3 linked regions of the Saccharomyces cerevisiae S288C genome follow. The protein of the gene in region 3 binds, or shares a complex with, the protein of the main gene of each other region. Each region holds a gene or a part of one and is shown on either strand. Other genes may lie near its edges. A codon is read from its position in the direction of its gene.

Region 1 (6,902 bases), on a different chromosome or scaffold from region 3:
ACAGAATGCAAAGATACATGTTCCCAAACACAGTGATGGTTCACCACTAGACTATCCAAAATTAAATACTTACACGTTTGTGCCTACCACAGTGCCGCCTTATGTTTTAGAGGCGCAGTTTGATAAATTAAGACTTCAGGATAAGGGCACCGTTGATGGAAATGTTACCGATGATAAAAATCTTCCAAAAGAGTTTAAATGGGGCCAGTTTGCATCTACCATCGGCTGTCATTCTGCATACACTAGAGACCAAAACTACAATCCTAGTCACAAATCCTACGATGGTTACTCTCTATCATCATCTACCTCATCAAAAAATGCGGCTCTTAGAGAAATTTTAGGTGACATGTGCAGCGAGTGGGGAGGTGAAGAACGACTAGAAGGTGTTCTACATTCAGAAATAGGTGCCAATTTAGAGTTCAACACGACAGAAGAGAGAAAAGAGTGGTTACAATATATCGAAAAGGTAAAAGATTTCTATTACGGTGATAATAAGAAGAACCCAGAATCACCCGAATCAGTACACAACAAAGTTTACAAGTCAGATTGGGTAAATGAGCTCAATAAAGAGAGAGAAAAGTGGCGGAGGTTAAAGCAAAGGAAGTTACAACAGTGGAGACCTCCTTTGACGTCGCTATTACTTGATAATCAATATTTGATTTTGGGTTTGAGGATTTTCACTGGTATATTATCGTGCATTTCACTTGCTCTGGCAATCAAGATTTTTCAAAACTCAAGATCAAATAACACCATCAGTGAAAGTAAAATCGGGCAACAACCAAGCACCATAATGGCCATCTGCGTCAACGCCGTGGCGATTGCGTATATTATTTACATTGCACACGATGAATTTGCTGGTAAACCTGTTGGTTTGAGGAATCCGTTAAGCAAACTGAAACTAATTTTGTTGGACTTACTTTTTATAATTTTTTCAAGCGCTAATCTAGCGCTGGCATTTAATACTCGTTTCGACAAAGAGTGGGTTTGCACTTCTATTCGCAGGTCAAATGGAAGCACGTATGGATACCCAAAAATACCGCGTATCTGCAGAAAACAGGAAGCTTTATCCGCTTTTCTGTTCGTTGCCTTGTTTATGTGGGTAATCACTTTCTCGATCAGTATTGTTAGAGTAGTCGAAAAAGTCAGTTCAATTACCAACAGAAACTGAGCTCGACAAATATAGAAATTAAAAGAATTCTTTTAGATACCAAGATTGACATTTATATGCATTGTATATTTTTGACTTAAAAAATTACTCCGGCTTGGCATTTATTCATTAACGGCGGGTTTGATTATATTAGGCTTTGTGCGATATAATATGTATTACCCGAAGGGAGGGCTATTGCACTTTCTTTTCCTTTCCGTTTTAAGGGCCCTTTTTCATTTCGATGTTTGATGGACACACATGAAGTGAAATGTGGCAAATAGAACATCTAGAAAAACTAGGGCATTAGGTAAAGTACCCCAGCAGAACTTCACTTTACAACGCAATTGATTCATATCACTGCTCTTTTATATTGTCCTTTTTCTCTTTTAGAGCTTTTCATCCGCATCTTCTAACTTCTGTGCACCCCTTTCATTGTTGATTACATTTTACCTCAGTTACACATTTCTTTTAGCAATTCGACATTGCTTCTACTTACCGATAAATAAGCGTACATTTTTGAGTCTTGAAAGGATTCTTACATATACCTAAACAAAGAATAACAACAAAATCGCAAGCAGCAAAGCATGTCTGAGACTCTGCCTAGATCTGATGATTTAGAGGCCACTTGGAACTTTATAGAGCCAGGAATTAACCAAATACTGGGTAATGAGAAAAACCAAGCATCCACGTCTAAGCGAGTTTACAAAATTCTTTCTCCAACCATGTATATGGAAGTCTATACCGCAATTTATAACTACTGTGTGAACAAATCACGCTCGTCTGGACATTTTAGTACTGACAGTAGAACTGGCCAATCAACAATTTTGGTTGGCAGTGAGATTTACGAAAAGTTAAAGAATTATTTGAAGAATTACATTTTAAATTTTAAGCAGTCTAATTCAGAGACCTTTTTGCAGTTTTACGTCAAGCGCTGGAAAAGGTTTACAATAGGTGCCATTTTTTTAAACCATGCATTCGATTATATGAATAGATATTGGGTTCAAAAGGAAAGAAGTGACGGCAAAAGGCATATTTTTGATGTAAACACCTTGTGCTTGATGACATGGAAAGAAGTCATGTTTGATCCGAGTAAAGATGTTTTAATAAACGAATTATTAGACCAGGTAACCTTGGGAAGGGAGGGGCAAATAATTCAAAGAAGTAATATTAGCACTGCCATAAAGTCTTTAGTTGCACTAGGTATCGATCCACAGGATTTGAAAAAGTTGAACCTAAATGTCTACATCCAAGTTTTCGAAAAGCCATTTTTAAAGAAGACTCAGGAGTACTACACGCAATATACAAACGATTATTTAGAGAAACACTCGGTAACTGAGTATATTTTTGAAGCACATGAAATCATCAAACGTGAGGAAAAAGCAATGACAATATATTGGGATGATCATACAAAAAAACCACTATCCATGGCATTAAACAAGGTCTTGATCACAGACCATATTGAAAAGTTGGAAAATGAGTTTGTTGTCCTTCTGGATGCCAGAGATATTGAAAAAATTACTTCTTTGTACGCACTAATACGCAGAGACTTTACATTAATCCCAAGAATGGCTTCAGTGTTTGAAAATTATGTTAAAAAGACAGGTGAGAATGAAATTTCGAGTCTACTGGCAATGCATAAACACAATATTATGAAAAACGAAAACGCAAACCCTAAAAAACTAGCACTAATGACAGCTCACTCCCTTTCTCCTAAAGACTATATCAAGAAATTACTGGAAGTACACGATATATTCTCTAAGATTTTTAATGAAAGTTTCCCCGACGACATACCTTTAGCTAAAGCTCTAGATAATGCGTGTGGTGCTTTCATCAACATCAACGAGTTCGCATTACCTGCTGGATCTCCAAAAAGTGCCACCTCGAAGACTTCCGAGATGCTAGCTAAGTACAGTGATATACTATTAAAGAAGGCCACCAAACCTGAAGTGGCAAGTGACATGTCAGATGAAGATATTATAACAATATTCAAATATTTGACCGACAAAGATGCGTTCGAAACTCATTATAGAAGACTTTTCGCCAAGCGTTTAATTCATGGCACTTCAACATCAGCAGAAGACGAAGAAAATATTATTCAAAGGCTGCAAGCGGCAAATAGTATGGAATATACAGGCAAGATAACTAAAATGTTTCAAGATATTAGACTTTCCAAGATCTTGGAAGACGATTTTGCTGTCGCCCTGAAGAATGAACCAGATTACTCTAAAGCAAAATATCCAGATCTACAACCATTTGTATTGGCAGAAAATATGTGGCCATTTTCATACCAAGAAGTTGAATTTAAGCTACCCAAGGAATTGGTACCATCTCACGAAAAATTGAAGGAGTCATACAGCCAAAAGCATAATGGTAGAATATTGAAGTGGCTATGGCCATTATGTCGTGGCGAATTGAAGGCAGATATTGGAAAACCCGGCAGGATGCCGTTCAACTTTACGGTAACACTGTTTCAAATGGCAATTTTGCTACTATATAACGATGCTGATGTATTAACCTTAGAAAATATTCAAGAGGGCACGAGCTTAACCATTCAGCACATCGCAGCGGCAATGGTACCATTCATCAAATTCAAACTGATTCAACAGGTCCCACCAGGGCTAGATGCTCTCGTGAAACCTGAAACACAATTCAAGCTATCACGTCCTTATAAGGCGCTTAAGACCAATATTAATTTCGCTAGCGGAGTCAAAAACGACATTCTGCAATCGCTATCCGGTGGAGGCCACGATAATCACGGTAATAAGTTAGGAAACAAACGCTTGACGGAAGACGAAAGAATAGAAAAAGAATTGAATACAGAAAGGCAGATTTTCTTGGAAGCTTGTATTGTGAGAATAATGAAAGCGAAAAGAAATCTGCCACATACAACATTGGTCAACGAATGCATTGCGCAATCACACCAAAGGTTCAATGCAAAGGTTTCTATGGTCAAGAGAGCCATCGATAGCTTAATACAAAAGGGATACCTACAGAGGGGAGACGATGGTGAATCGTATGCTTACCTTGCTTAATCATCTTTGAAGGCTTGTGCTGATCGAACGAAGCAAATCCTACGAGTAAATACATAAGCGTATACATATATATATATATATATATATATATATATATATGTATATATATATATGTGTGTGTGTGTAATTGTGTGTATTCAACTGAACTATGAAGAGTCTTTGACCTCTTGAGAATCTCATAGTATGAAGATATGGCACTTCTCTTTCCGTTGTAACATCCTTTACCGGGCGGCTTTTCGGCCTGCTTGAGAAGAGATCAGGCTGAAATGATGAGACTGACAACAAGGATCAGTCAGTGGCAGAGTTGAAATTCCGCTGGAAATCGTCACCAGCAGCTACCAGCTCCAAGAAATCCGCGTAGAAATCACGTCGCGCAATGTGCGATAGTGGTGGAACAGCGAAAATTAGTCACTTTGCAAAGATGCCAAGCTGATCGTTCTCGTTGTGTGTGATTCTACGATATTGCGCATGAGTGGTGTTGAGCATGCGTTTGTTCGCATTTTCATGCAGTCTCTTATATACTAATATATATATGCAACAGATTTCAAAATTTATCTTTCTTCTTGTTGCGTTTAGGCCTTTATTTGCTACACATTTAAAAGTGCAACGACAACCCAAGTAATTGTATACTTTAACAAACCATGTCTGAAAATAACGAATTCCAGAGTGTCACCGAATCGACGACTGCTCCAACCACTAGTAACCCATATGGCCCAAATCCTGCGGATTATCTATCCAATGTTAAGAATTTCCAGTTGATTGATTCAACACTAAGAGAGGGTGAACAATTTGCCAACGCATTCTTCGATACTGAAAAAAAGATTGAAATTGCTAGAGCCTTGGATGATTTCGGTGTGGACTACATCGAGTTAACCTCTCCCGTAGCATCCGAACAATCAAGAAAGGACTGTGAAGCTATATGTAAACTAGGTTTAAAGGCCAAGATCCTTACACACATTCGTTGTCACATGGACGATGCCAGAGTCGCCGTAGAGACTGGTGTCGACGGTGTCGATGTTGTTATCGGCACCTCCAAATTTTTAAGACAATATTCCCACGGTAAGGATATGAACTACATCGCCAAGAGTGCTGTTGAAGTCATTGAATTTGTCAAATCCAAAGGTATTGAAATCAGATTTTCCTCTGAAGATTCCTTCAGAAGTGATCTCGTTGATCTTTTGAACATTTATAAAACCGTTGACAAGATCGGTGTAAATAGAGTCGGTATTGCCGACACAGTTGGATGTGCCAACCCAAGACAAGTATATGAACTGATCAGAACTTTGAAGAGTGTTGTCTCATGTGACATCGAATGCCATTTCCACAATGATACCGGTTGTGCCATTGCAAACGCCTACACTGCTTTGGAAGGTGGTGCCAGATTGATTGACGTCAGTGTACTGGGTATTGGTGAAAGAAACGGTATCACTCCTCTAGGTGGGCTCATGGCAAGAATGATTGTTGCCGCACCAGACTATGTCAGATCTAAATACAAGCTGCACAAGATCAGAGACATCGAAAACCTGGTCGCTGATGCTGTGGAAGTTAACATTCCATTCAACAACCCTATCACCGGGTTCTGTGCATTCACACATAAAGCAGGTATCCATGCCAAGGCCATTTTGGCTAACCCATCTACCTACGAAATCTTGGACCCTCACGATTTCGGTATGAAGAGATATATCCACTTCGCCAACAGACTAACTGGTTGGAATGCAATCAAATCAAGAGTCGACCAATTGAACTTGAATTTGACGGATGATCAAATCAAGGAAGTTACTGCTAAGATTAAGAAGCTGGGTGATGTCAGACCGCTAAATATTGATGATGTAGACTCCATTATCAAGGACTTCCATGCAGAATTGAGCACCCCACTTTTAAAACCAGTAAATAAGGGTACAGATGACGACAATATCGATATTTCCAATGGGCATGTTTCTAAAAAGGCAAAGGTCACCAAATAGTTTCATTATATATATAGTACACATATTTCAAACATACACATACTGGGCGTTATTAGGTGTTTAAGTACTGGCGATTACCGTAATAAAATTACTATTTACGTCAACTTTATTCAATAAGCTTTTTCTCCTACTCCGATGTTCAATTGAGGCGGTTGCATCTAGCTTGAAGACGGGGTATTTTAATCAATTAATTGAGATCAATGAATATTGACTCTGTGCGATTCCCCACGCTATTATACTCTCACGGAGTATTTCCGTTATGATAATGATCACTATATACGTCAAATGATCGGTTTCTATTTGCTAACTATTTCAAGCATCATTATTATCTTTTAGGGGGCGGCTGGGGAATTATTTATTATATTTAGTTCAGTCGTTCATAAGAAAATTGAGCTCTCCATTGTAGATATTAAGAAGCACTTTCACCCAGTCATCCAACCAAACACGCTATCAATATGTTAAACCGTTGCATTTCCCGTAATACCAGGCTGCCAGTAAACCTAAGAATTGCCTCTCGCTTTTATTCAGATGGTCCTCTCGGTGGTGCCGGACCTGGTAATCCTCAAGATATCTTTATCAAGAGAGAACGTGCCAAAGAGGATTATTATGCCAGACAACAAGAGAGGGAACAATTAGCACATGTGAAGGAACAACTAAAAGAACACAAGAAAAAATTAGAGAATTTAGAAAACAAAATTAATAACCTTTCAAAGTGATTGGTCATTGTTAAGGCTAAAGGTTCTGCAGACACGTTTTGTA
Region 2 (5,319 bases), on a different chromosome or scaffold from region 3:
CTTGGGTATCTCTATAGGAACACTTTGGGAGCCTTCAGACCCTGACTCACCGGCTTTCAATTCATCATTAGAATACTTTTGAGATTGTGCGCTTAAATGGGAATCTTTACTGAGTGAAGAGATCACGTCTTCACCAGCTTGGGGTTGCTGTGAAACAACAGGCATATTGTTCTCCTCAACTGCCATTATGAAAGAATTATTTTTTTTATTATGTTAATCTTGTGTTTACTTAACTATTACTATTCTTGATGATAATTGAATAAGGTGCATAATGAAGAGCAATTCACAACACCAAATTTTCAATCCAATTACTGATTGTTTATATATGTCTACAAAACTTATCCTATCTCCACATTTTAGCCTGCGAAATGTTTGTTTTTTGAACAATAGCTCTCCAGAATGTTGTATAATTTAAGAATATGTGCACAGTTAACTTTCTAGCAGGAGTATAATGCCATTTGCTCCCCATCTTGAGATGGGAAGGGCTTAACTAATCTCGGTTCGGAGTGATCCGCCCCGATACTGCCTTCTGCCTTAATATCGTCCAAGGCACATGGACCCCTGAACGGCGCAGATATCTCCGCACGGACGAAAGACCGCCGGTGCCTTCCTGAGGCAACCGCCCCTTTCGAATATAGATCACGTGACCCATTTTTAGCTACTAATAGAAAAAGAAATTGCAACCTACTTAAGCCATTCCGGAAGGAAGCTTTCCGAATTGACGTTGAGTACCTTTTGTGAAAAGATTCTACCGCATTTAATTGGAGTTTGATGCAAAGTAGTTGCCAGTTACAAGTTGAGTGCGGCTACCTGATATTTTCTAGTCCTATATTGCTGTGATCTGAATCTGGAAAGTTCCCCTGGTCCGTAAACCTCCTTGGATTAGTACAGCCCGTTATGCTCAGTAAATGTAATAGATGTGCCTTCTGCAGCGAAACTGGTATTGTAGGAGACATATTACTGTCGTCTTGGAAGCAAAATTAATGTTTTGCTGCTTTTACTGTCGCGTTTAACAGTTGATTTTCCCAAAAAAAAAAAAAGAAGTTAACAGCATCTATATAAAGAAGGATATAGATAACATGCACATTTTCGTATGTAATAGTTATGTTTCTTATATCTTGTACCCATATAACAAAGACACAAGAGCTTACAGAAGTTTGACCTTCTTGATGTCTTGGTTAATTCTAAACATGTAGTACGCCAATGTGATCATAATGAAAATCAGCAGTGCCAACCATACACTTATTTTGGAAAATATCTCATCATGACCTTTGGTCTGCTTGCCATACAGCTTGGCATCTTGTCGAATTTTTTCTTGTTCTTTTATCAATCTGTCCAGGTTTGCGTTCATCGAAAGAAAATCTTGGAAACTATCGTCACTTATGGCTGTTTTCTTCAGATCTAACAGTGGTCTTAAACGTTGAATCAGTTCACGTTCATTCTCCACAATCTTGTTCATCTTGCGGAGTAATGGATCGATATCATTTGCCATGATTTTCCCCTCCAACTTGTTCATCTTTTCGAAAAGCTCGTTACTCGTTATACTTTCTTCCTTATCAGAAAATGGCATCTTTTCCCTGAAACTCTCTTCACCAGTTTGAGAATTGATCACTTTAGTAACCACTCTGGGTTGTCCCATAGGATTCACGTTAGGAATTAGCGAATCCTCTATAACTCCGTCATAAAGCTTCATTTTCAAGATTTCAAACGATTCTTTGGATGCATCGTTGATAGCACTTGTTCCAATCCTAAATGGGCTGCTGCCCATAAATTTAACTTTCCTTGTCTGGAAACACACTCTGTTGTCCATTTGCAACTTTAACAAGTGATTATCTAGTGGATTGTAAGTCAATCTTAATGTTGATGGTACCATGGAATCCTGGTATTGGAACAGACATGACGCAAAGTACGGTGAGGATTCAATATCAAGATCTTTTGTTCCGTCATTCAAATACGCTGTCACGCTCTCTCCCAACTTATCGTCTAATCGTAACAATATCATCAAACCATTAAACTTCTTCGAACTTCCACCAAATAACTCGGTACTATCTCCCTCATTTCCTTGCTTCAGCCAAAATGCAAGACCCCCCTTTGTGCTGCCTCTGAACCCGAAACTTCTAAACGTCCACTCTATTGTCATTGCATCCTTTATTGAATATTCAGGTTTCAACCAAAGTGAACCCTTTGTGTTCTTTCCAGGAGTTAAAACAAACCTCCCTTCTTCAAGTTTTACTTTGTCACCCAAAGTCCATTGTGAAAGTTCTTTTTGCTGATCTGTCACTTCTAGCAAATTTGGTAGCGAGTATCCTTTATTCCATTTCAATTCATCCTTCTGCGTCACTTTTCCGTGTACCATCCACACACACATATATAACCATATCAGTCCATTAATGAAATTCATCTTCTTTTGCTTAGTTCCAGCTTTTGTTCCTGTGATTTTCCCTAAAAGCTGAAGAGAGGAAGCTGTCTTTCTTGTAGTCATCCTCCCCTAACTCGCTTTGACGAAATACTACAATGAAATATGCTATTATTCTGAAGACAGAAAACCAGAATAAAAGAATACGGTAAGGAAAAGTTAAAAATCCTGTTAATGTTGTAATATAGAATATCCTGTATATATTATAATATGTAAAATGTTGATGTTAATGCCCCTTTGCAAATAAATGTAGAATAAGTAAGTAAATAAAATATAATCGTTCCAGAAACTTTTTTTTTTCATTTCTTCAATGCTCTTGATCCCTAGATTGAAACAATGCCTTTGGCTTGAATCTTCTCTTTTCTTCATCCGTTAACCTTCGTTTCTCTACCACCTCTCCCTTCTTATTGACATATGTTATTACGTCTTCTATATCTGGGTTTTCTCTCAACATTGCCCTTTTACGTTCATTTCTAATTTCCTGAGTGACCAGTTCATCTGATGCAAAGGGATTTTTACCCACCCGCACTGGATTGATGATGATGTCTTCCTCGTCTTCACTTTCTTGACTCCTGGCGTCATTTTTCGGAGAGTTGTTGTTCCAATTTTTTGCCAATTCAAATGTTATCACCTTGTCGCTGGGCGTACCAGGTACATCTTTAATAATCTTCTTTCTATGTGTCTGATCAAACTCATCTCTTTCAAGTGATAAATGTAACTGCCTGGCAGATGTAGGTCTGCTGGGGGGAAGAAGAACTTCTCCTTCTTCTTCTTCTTCTGCTGCATCTATATCCACATTTTGCTGCGTGGGAAACAATATCCTATTTACACGACCCAATGGTTCCTGCTCTTCCCTTACTGTTCCATTATCATGACTTTCAAATTGGAATAGTGTCCTCTTCACTGAAGATTTTGGAAACGGCGAGCGTTGAGGAGACGTAAGCCCATTAAATGGAGAGGTCATACCCATGTTCGAATTGGGAGGTGCTAATAATGGCGCATTTTTAAAAGACTTAGTTGTTGAGGGAGTGACAGGGACTAGGTTCTGTGAAGGCTTTTGGGGGGTCTTTTGACCTTGCATTAGGGCACTAGAACTAGTATTGCCACTAGGCTGCGCAAGGTACCTAGTCCCTCTGGACCTTGGTGGGGTGGAAGGAGTCATTTTCGTGTAATAGTCCCTGCTTCAAGGGTCAAAATTCCGTAGAGGTTTGGTTGATTGATTTACAAAGACAATACCTTATCCTTTGGATATGCCTTCTCTCTTTTTATAAATATCAAAAGTTGCGACGCGAACAACAAGCCAGCCATTGAAATTTTCAGTGTGCTGGCTATAATAGACAGGATCGACGCTGTCGATGGAGAAGGAAACACGGCAATAGTGCAGATATTATCGTGACTTAATCATATTGATTTGAGGGGGGAATGGTATGTTTGATCGCCGGAGGCATCTTTTCTCATTATTGCTAAAACAAGATGTAATACTAACAGGGTATTTTGCTACTACCATCAAATAGAACGCTCTTTACAACCATGCTGTGAAGCAAAAAAATCAACTACAACAAGAGTTGGCCAGGTTTGAAAAGAATTCTGTGACCGCCCCTATTTCTTTACAAGGGTCCATCTCTGCAACTCTGGTCTCACTGGAGAAAACAGTTAAGCAATATGCAGAACATTTAAACAGATATAAAGAAGATACTAATGCAGAGGAAATTGATCCTAAGTTCGCTAATCGACTAGCAACTTTAACACAGGATCTGCACGACTTTACTGCCAAGTTTAAGGATTTAAAACAATCCTACAACGAAAATAATTCCAGAACTCAGTTGTTTGGCTCAGGAGCATCGCATGTTATGGACTCCGATAACCCCTTTAGTACATCAGAGACCATCATGAATAAAAGGAACGTTGGTGGTGCGAGTGCAAATGGTAAAGAGGGCTCTAGCAACGGTGGGGGACTACCGTTGTACCAAGGGCTACAAAAGGAACAGTCTGTTTTCGAAAGGGGTAACGCTCAATTAGATTACATTCTAGAAATGGGCCAACAATCATTCGAAAATATAGTGGAACAAAACAAAATTTTATCCAAGGTACAAGATAGAATGTCAAATGGCCTAAGAACATTGGGTGTTTCGGAACAAACTATCACCTCTATCAATAAACGGGTGTTCAAAGATAAACTAGTCTTTTGGATCGCGTTAATTCTCTTGATCATAGGTATTTATTATGTGTTGAAATGGTTAAGATAGAAGTAACCGTGAGTTCTATATATAAATAAACATACCATATATACATGCATCATTATAAGGGTTGAAAAAACATCGCGAATCTCGCTACTTTCCTTCTATGCTCTTTCGTTTCTCAAACCCGCCAGTATAAGCAACTTTTATTACCATTGGTGACTACACGTTGCTCCTTTTTTAAGTGTAATTTACTGTTATAAATTGAGTCCAAATCTGTCGTGTCTTGTCCTGGTTTGAGAACTTCGGGAATGTTCATTGGCTTAGCGCATTTCATAGTTTTCTTTCCAATACCTAGTTGGCCATGGTCGTTATTACCCCATGCAATGACCTCGTTTTCTTGTTCAGTTTCAGTGAACACACAATGAGAGCCGCAACTCCAGTTGGTCAATTTCTTGTCATCCGACTTGATTTTTATGGGATCACATTGCGAGTTCTTGAAAGTGTTGTTGCCCAATTCACCAAAAAGTCCATTACCAAACGCGAAATAATGATGGTCTGACGTTGAGCCAGGCTTACGAATGGTCACAAACGATGTTTCATCATCACAATGAATATCCACACATTTCCAATTCGTCATCCCCGGGAAATGCGGTTTAAATGCATGCGTTACCGATCTTGGGAAAGAAACATATTCTAGATTGTACGAAATAGGTAGTGCCAATT
Region 3 (7,240 bases):
CTTTGTTTCGGATGTGGGGTACACTCAGTTGACTGATTATGAAAGATATGGCGTAGCCGTTGGGTTAGGGTTATTACACAGAAATGAATTATACCAGTGAAATTATTCTCTTTATGTTTGTTCCTACATGTTTTCCAATCAGAAGGAATTGTTATATAAGGACACAAGAAATGTGTTGGTACGCTCTGCGCCTCAATGACGGTTTATCTATCTAAAACTATTTCTTTCTCGTAATAAAAATACAATAAATAATTAATAATAATATAGTTGATCGATATAACAAAAAAATAACAGCGAGGATGGTTAGTTCAAGTGTTTCCATTTTGGGGACTAGCGCCAAGGCATCCACTTCTCTAAGTAGAAAGGATGAAATTAAACTAACCCCTGAAACAAGGGAAGCTAGCTTGGACATTCCATACAAACCCATTATTGCATACTGGACGGTGATGGGTCTCTGTCTGATGATTGCCTTTGGTGGATTCATTTTTGGTTGGGATACAGGAACCATTTCAGGGTTTATTAACCAAACAGATTTCAAGAGAAGGTTTGGTGAGTTACAAAGGGACGGCAGTTTTCAACTATCAGATGTCAGGACAGGGCTAATTGTCGGTATCTTCAACATAGGTTGTGCTTTAGGTGGCCTAACGCTGGGACGCCTGGGCGATATTTATGGGCGTAAAATCGGCTTAATGTGTGTTATACTGGTGTATGTTGTTGGTATCGTGATCCAGATTGCTTCCTCTGACAAATGGTATCAATATTTTATTGGTAGAATTGTTTCTGGAATGGGTGTTGGAGGTGTTGCTGTGCTGTCGCCAACTTTGATCTCAGAAATTTCCCCAAAGCACCTAAGAGGCACTTGTGTCTCTTTTTACCAGCTAATGATTACCCTTGGAATTTTCTTGGGCTACTGTACCAATTATGGTACAAAGAAATATTCAAATTCAATACAGTGGCGGGTTCCCTTGGGTTTGTGTTTTGCGTGGGCAATCTTTATGGTGATTGGAATGGTTATGGTTCCGGAATCGCCCAGATATTTAGTAGAAAAAGGTAAGTATGAAGAAGCTAGAAGGTCTTTGGCCAAATCAAACAAGGTCACAGTTACTGATCCAGGCGTTGTTTTTGAGTTTGATACTATAGTTGCAAATATGGAATTAGAAAGGGCTGTTGGAAATGCCAGTTGGCACGAACTCTTCTCAAATAAAGGAGCAATTCTACCAAGGGTAATAATGGGAATCGTTATCCAGTCACTGCAACAGCTTACTGGCTGTAATTATTTTTTCTACTACGGCACGACCATTTTCAATGCTGTTGGAATGCAAGACTCTTTCGAGACTTCCATTGTCCTTGGGGCTGTTAATTTTGCTTCTACATTTGTTGCACTATACATTGTGGATAAATTTGGGCGTCGAAAATGTTTATTGTGGGGGTCTGCCTCGATGGCAATTTGTTTCGTCATATTCGCCACCGTTGGCGTCACTAGATTATGGCCACAAGGGAAAGACCAACCTTCTTCGCAAAGTGCTGGTAATGTTATGATCGTTTTTACTTGTTTCTTCATTTTCTCTTTTGCCATTACTTGGGCTCCTATCGCCTATGTCATTGTGGCAGAAACTTATCCATTAAGAGTTAAAAATCGTGCCATGGCCATTGCGGTTGGTGCGAACTGGATGTGGGGTTTCTTGATTGGATTTTTCACACCCTTTATCACTAGATCCATAGGATTTTCTTATGGCTATGTTTTCATGGGTTGCTTAATCTTTTCGTACTTCTACGTTTTCTTCTTTGTTTGCGAAACAAAGGGATTAACTCTGGAGGAAGTTAATGAAATGTACGAAGAAAGAATAAAGCCATGGAAGTCCGGAGGTTGGATTCCCAGTTCTAGAAGAACACCACAACCAACAAGCAGTACACCATTAGTTATTGTTGATAGTAAATAATTTCTAAATATTCTTGTACTCTGGTAAACAGAAATAACAACAGATAATGGATTGATGCTTTACTTCTATTTCATGGAGATTGGTTTTATATAATAGCCTTTATTAATGGCGTCACAAATTGAAAAAAAAATTAAAAAAAATAAGACGGACACATTTGCGACGCCGGTGAATAAATGCATATAAGTAGTTTATAAGCTAGCTACTACTCAGAAATAATTTCAAAAAAAAAAAGAAGTGGGCACTTTAAAATGAAGATTAGCTATAGTAAATTACTGTAGTATAACAACTACCTGCTATCTTTCTGAAAAAATCAGGCAATGTAAGGTCAAACTTGTACCATCGACATATATAATGTTTTGAGATATAAGTAACTAGAGACCAGTTTATACAGGATCTTACCTCTTTTTACCGTTATGAAAGCTTTATTACTGCGTTGTTAGTAAACACACATATTATTTTCGGGTAGTCCTGTCGATGTTCCAAGGCTTTGCATTTATCATTGTTTCCGCTTCATCGGTGGTATTAGTTAGTGTATCTGTATGTGAAGTATGTGGATAGGTGCTTCTATTATTGGAACAAAACACCTTAAACGCGCACTAGGTTATAGGAAAGGGTCCATTATTCAAAGAACGGCTTATTGAAAAGTATGTTGTAAAGCTCGGTCATATCGCGCATAGCCACGATAAGGCGTGGTGCTGCTTCATAGATTGAGAGGCGCAGTCAATACACAACCATACCGGTAGTTTGATAAATGATACTATCATTCCGGAAGCTCTCTAGTAAGCTGTAGGTGGCATATACGGTATCTATCATCTAGTAATAGCTATTGATTTTTTTCTCGACTATGCTATATGTGTTGTGATGGTTCACTTAGAAGTGAAAAAGTAGCAATAAATTAGACAGACAGAAGTAATTGAAGCTACATTCAACAACATGGCTAAGTAAAAAAGCGTAGAATATCATGATGGGTTTTTTTATCTTTTAATTGCTTTCTATGTAGTATAATGGACCGATCTTTGCAAGTATATATCTGTATGTATCCATATTTAGATGGCAGCAAGCAATATAGATTTGATGAGCTTATATCATTTTATCGTCCTTGTCCAAAAAGTCTTGATAACATTAAAAGTCACTACCGTCAAATCCATCATCAAATCCGCCGTCGAACCCACCAGCATCATCAAATCCGCCGTCGGACCCACCAGCATCATCACCGTAGTAATTGTTCTCGACAACGACAGTGTCTGGTCCGTCATAGTTGTGGTCGTCAAATGCGTGTTCTAGCATAGCTCCACCTAACAAACCCGCACCAACACCAAGTAAACCACCCATCATGGCACCGCCGTGTCCACTACCTTTACTGGTGCTTGGCGCAGTTCCATAGTATGCTTGCTGTGGTGCTGCTGCTGGCATAGGGGCTTGTTGAGGATAGTAACGCTGCTGTTGAGGGTATTGAGGGTACTGAGGCTGTTGAGGCTGATAGTAACGAGGTTGCTGTGCTTGGGCCCCTGCTTGCACTTGCGGTGTTGATTGAGAAGAATAAGGTGGAGGAGCCTGGTCTGCCTGTTGACGAGAACTCTTCTCATTGTTAACACCTGGTGGAGGACCTTTGGGTCTTGGCCATGTTGTTCCCCTTGGTGGTTCCCACTGAGAGCTGTTCGTAGATAAATCTACATAATACCAAGTCTGGTATTCATCATCAAAAACAGCCTTCCAGCCAGAAGGCACTTGAGGAGGATTACTTTTACTTTGAGCCATTACTTTAAAATGTTTTGGGTTTTTTTATCGACTCTCTTGTAGTGAGTGATAAAAGCAATTCAGAAAGAGTCTTTTGATTATCATGACTAAAGTAAACTTTTTCTTCCAGCTGCCGGCTCGGTCAGGTGGACGAAACAAAAAAGCCTGTTGAAATAATACTGAATACGTTAAAACGTCACAGCGCTTGTATATCTTGTGAGAGAAAGGCTATTACCACTGTTATATGAATATAGATTGCTCAACAAAGCGTGTCTTTTTCTGTGTGCTTAAAATATAGTGTCTTTTTTGGGAAAAAAACGTTTATTTACAGTATTCTCTTCTTCTTCTCCTCATTCAACTTGTTGCGGTTCGAAGAAAATTACGCATAAAGAATCAAAGAAAGGCAAAAATTACGCTGTACGATGGGGTCGTTTCCCTTAGCTGAGTTTCCATTACGTGATATCCCTGTTCCTTATAGCTACCGTGTGTCTGGCGGTATAGCTTCCTCAGGTAGTGTTACTGCGCTTGTTACTGCCGCTGGCACTCATCGAAACTCGTCCACGGCTAAGACAGTTGAGACAGAAGACGGCGAAGAAGATATCGATGAGTATCAGAGGAAAAGAGCAGCTGGTTCTGGCGAATCCACTCCTGAACGCAGTGATTTCAAAAGGGTAAAACATGATAATCACAAAACCCTCCATCCAGTTAACTTACAGAACACCGGTGCAGCGTCTGTGGATAATGACGGTCTGCACAATTTAACAGATATATCCAACGATGCAGAAAAACTTTTGATGTCTGTGGATGATGGTTCTGCCGCACCTTCTACATTGAGTGTAAACATGGGAGTGGCATCTCATAATGTTGCTGCTCCCACTACCGTCAATGCGGCAACAATAACTGGCAGTGATGTTAGTAACAATGTTAATAGTGCTACTATTAACAATCCTATGGAGGAAGGAGCGCTGCCGTTATCACCCACTGCTTCCTCTCCAGGTACCACAACTCCTTTAGCTAAAACTACGAAAACTATCAACAACAATAATAATATCGCCGATTTGATAGAATCCAAAGATTCTATAATCTCCCCTGAATACCTTTCTGATGAGATTTTCAGCGCAATAAACAATAATCTCCCTCACGCATACTTCAAAAATTTATTATTTAGATTAGTTGCCAACATGGATAGGAGTGAACTATCCGACTTGGGGACTTTAATCAAGGATAATTTAAAGAGGGACCTAATAACGTCTTTGCCTTTTGAAATAAGTTTGAAAATTTTCAATTATTTGCAATTCGAGGATATTATAAATTCCCTTGGGGTCTCCCAAAATTGGAACAAAATAATTAGAAAATCTACATCGTTGTGGAAAAAACTTCTGATATCGGAAAATTTTGTGAGCCCAAAGGGTTTTAATTCTCTCAATCTCAAACTCTCCCAAAAATACCCAAAACTCTCACAACAAGATCGCCTTAGATTATCTTTTCTGGAGAATATATTCATTTTAAAAAATTGGTACAATCCCAAGTTTGTACCACAAAGGACCACGTTAAGAGGCCATATGACGAGTGTTATTACGTGCTTGCAATTTGAAGATAATTATGTCATTACGGGGGCTGATGACAAAATGATCAGAGTTTATGATTCGATAAACAAGAAATTTCTTCTACAACTATCAGGTCATGATGGTGGGGTTTGGGCATTGAAGTATGCCCATGGCGGTATTTTAGTCAGCGGTTCTACAGACAGAACGGTGCGAGTTTGGGATATTAAGAAAGGTTGTTGTACCCATGTGTTTAAAGGTCATAACTCTACGGTGAGGTGCCTAGATATAGTAGAATATAAAAATATCAAGTACATTGTTACTGGTTCGAGAGATAACACTTTGCACGTTTGGAAATTGCCCAAGGAGTCCTCCGTTCCTGATCATGGGGAAGAACATGATTATCCATTAGTCTTTCATACCCCTGAGGAGAACCCATATTTTGTTGGTGTTTTAAGAGGACATATGGCATCTGTAAGAACTGTCTCAGGCCACGGTAATATTGTCGTTAGTGGCTCCTATGATAATACACTGATTGTGTGGGATGTTGCGCAAATGAAATGTTTGTATATTTTAAGTGGACATACGGATCGTATTTATTCGACAATCTACGATCATGAAAGAAAAAGGTGCATCTCTGCCAGTATGGATACCACTATTAGAATTTGGGATTTGGAAAATATATGGAATAATGGAGAATGTTCCTACGCAACAAATTCAGCATCGCCATGCGCCAAAATACTTGGTGCTATGTACACTTTGCAGGGTCATACAGCTTTGGTCGGTTTATTAAGATTATCCGACAAATTTTTGGTCAGTGCCGCTGCAGACGGTTCAATAAGGGGTTGGGACGCAAACGACTACTCTAGAAAATTTTCCTACCATCATACCAATTTGAGTGCAATTACCACATTTTATGTATCGGATAATATTTTGGTGAGTGGATCGGAAAATCAGTTCAACATCTATAATCTACGGAGTGGGAAATTGGTCCACGCAAATATTCTAAAAGATGCTGATCAGATTTGGTCGGTTAATTTTAAGGGCAAAACACTTGTTGCAGCAGTTGAAAAAGATGGACAGAGCTTTTTAGAAATTCTGGATTTCAGCAAAGCTTCAAAAATTAACTACGTTAGCAATCCCGTAAACTCCTCGTCGTCGTCTTTGGAATCCATTTCTACTTCTTTGGGTCTAACGAGGACAACTATAATACCATGACCTTTCCCAGAGAATAAGCATTGACTCATACTTAGATAATATAGCTTAATAAGTAGTTATATAATCAGTAAAAAAGTACAATAACAACTTCGTACATTTTATTGAATATAAACTGCAGCTAAACTGCTTGTATGTTCAATTTTAATTGTGTTTACAAAAAGGGTGCCGTTTATTAATTAATGTTTCTTCCCTGAAAATATGGAAAGTACAAGTTTTTAGTTGAGAAGGGTTTAAGAAAGTTTTGAAAATGATCTAAAAAAATATAAAAGCAATCAAAGAAATAAAAGCTGGAAAAATGCGTAATAACCGAAGTGACTAAAATTTCTTTACGCGCCAAATAAGAAATCGATGCTCTTGAAAGTAGCAACCATTTTTTAAATAATATATTCCTGATGGTTCTTGGCCCAAGAGTTTTCTTGAACTTTTAACGTTAAGAAGTTGATTCTGCTGATTTTTTTCAAGTTATCAAGCGTTATGTTTTGAAACATCTGTTCCGTTTTCAGTTTTTCAAAAAGATCGATATTCTCTTGAGAATTAGGAAGTTCTACGCTCAACCTCCCGTGGGCAGAAGAAATACAAAAGCTAATACAATTGTGTTAGAATAAAGTTCTAATATTATCTAATTAGTAGTATTCATGTTACTAGTATATTATCACATGATATTTCTCAAATTGGACAATGTAAATAATGAGTGTTTTTATGACACAATCTTTATCGTTAGATGTTTCAACGTTCCAAGGCTTGGTTCTATCGCTCTTCTCTTCAAATTGTAATCGTTTGTCATGATAAACACGTACGGGA

The links. Proteins that work in one complex are often made in the same cells at the same time.
Region 1: CDC4 (region 3) and CDC53 share a complex: the UniProt entries of both Saccharomyces cerevisiae proteins name them as parts of the SCF(CDC4) complex.
Region 2: the proteins of CDC4 (region 3) and SIC1 are in contact, whole or in part, in a crystal structure (PDB 3V7D), measured with the Saccharomyces cerevisiae proteins. Residues at the interface, in NP_116585.1 of Saccharomyces cerevisiae: Val384 (codon at 5,249), Trp426 (codon at 5,375), Thr441 (codon at 5,420), Arg443 (codon at 5,426), Ser464 (codon at 5,489), Thr465 (codon at 5,492), Arg467 (codon at 5,498), Arg485 (codon at 5,552), Arg534 (codon at 5,699), Tyr548 (codon at 5,741), Arg572 (codon at 5,813), Tyr574 (codon at 5,819), Leu634 (codon at 5,999), Gly636 (codon at 6,005), Leu637 (codon at 6,008), Ala650 (codon at 6,047), Ala675 (codon at 6,122), Ile676 (codon at 6,125), Thr677 (codon at 6,128), Trp717 (codon at 6,248); in NP_013180.1 of Saccharomyces cerevisiae: Phe71 (codon at 3,368), Asn72 (codon at 3,365), Gly73 (codon at 3,362), Leu74 (codon at 3,359), Thr75 (codon at 3,356), Ser76 (codon at 3,353), Pro77 (codon at 3,350), Gln78 (codon at 3,347), Arg79 (codon at 3,344), Ser80 (codon at 3,341).

What each region holds. Positions count from the first base shown.
Region 1 is NC_001136.10:222,573-229,474, forward strand, and holds CDC53 (cullin CDC53), read left to right. Parts: upstream 1-1,731; coding exon 1,732-4,179; downstream 4,180-6,902. Other genes in the region: SRF1 (phospholipase D regulator), read left to right, coding at 1-1,168; homocitrate synthase LYS21, read left to right, coding at 4,821-6,143; STF1 (ATPase-binding protein), read left to right, coding at 6,599-6,859. UniProt on the Saccharomyces cerevisiae protein: Core component of multiple cullin-RING-based SCF (SKP1-CUL1-F-box) E3 ubiquitin-protein ligase complexes which mediate the ubiquitination and subsequent proteasomal degradation of target proteins.
Region 2 is NC_001144.5:285,079-290,397, reverse strand, and holds SIC1 (cyclin-dependent protein serine/threonine kinase inhibiting protein SIC1), read right to left. Parts: upstream 3,579-5,319; coding exon 2,724-3,578; downstream 1-2,723. Other genes in the region: galactose permease GAL2, read right to left, coding at 1-186; EMP46 (Emp46p), read right to left, coding at 1,148-2,482; BOS1 (Bos1p), read left to right, coding at 3,839-3,841, 3,931-4,662; FMP25 (Fmp25p), read right to left, coding at 4,775-5,319. UniProt on the Saccharomyces cerevisiae protein: Substrate and inhibitor of the cyclin-dependent protein kinase CDC28. Its activity could be important for faithful segregation of chromosomes to daughter cells. It acts in response to a signal from a post-start checkpoint.
Region 3 is NC_001138.5:112,046-119,285, forward strand, and holds CDC4 (SCF ubiquitin ligase complex subunit CDC4), read left to right. Parts: upstream 1-4,099; coding exon 4,100-6,439; downstream 6,440-7,240. Other genes in the region: hexose transporter HXT10, read left to right, coding at 300-1,940; AUA1 (Aua1p), read left to right, coding at 2,945-3,229; WWM1 (Wwm1p), read right to left, coding at 3,063-3,698. UniProt on the Saccharomyces cerevisiae protein: Substrate recognition component of a SCF (SKP1-CUL1-F-box protein) E3 ubiquitin-protein ligase complex which mediates the ubiquitination and subsequent proteasomal degradation of target proteins. Recognizes and binds to phosphorylated target proteins.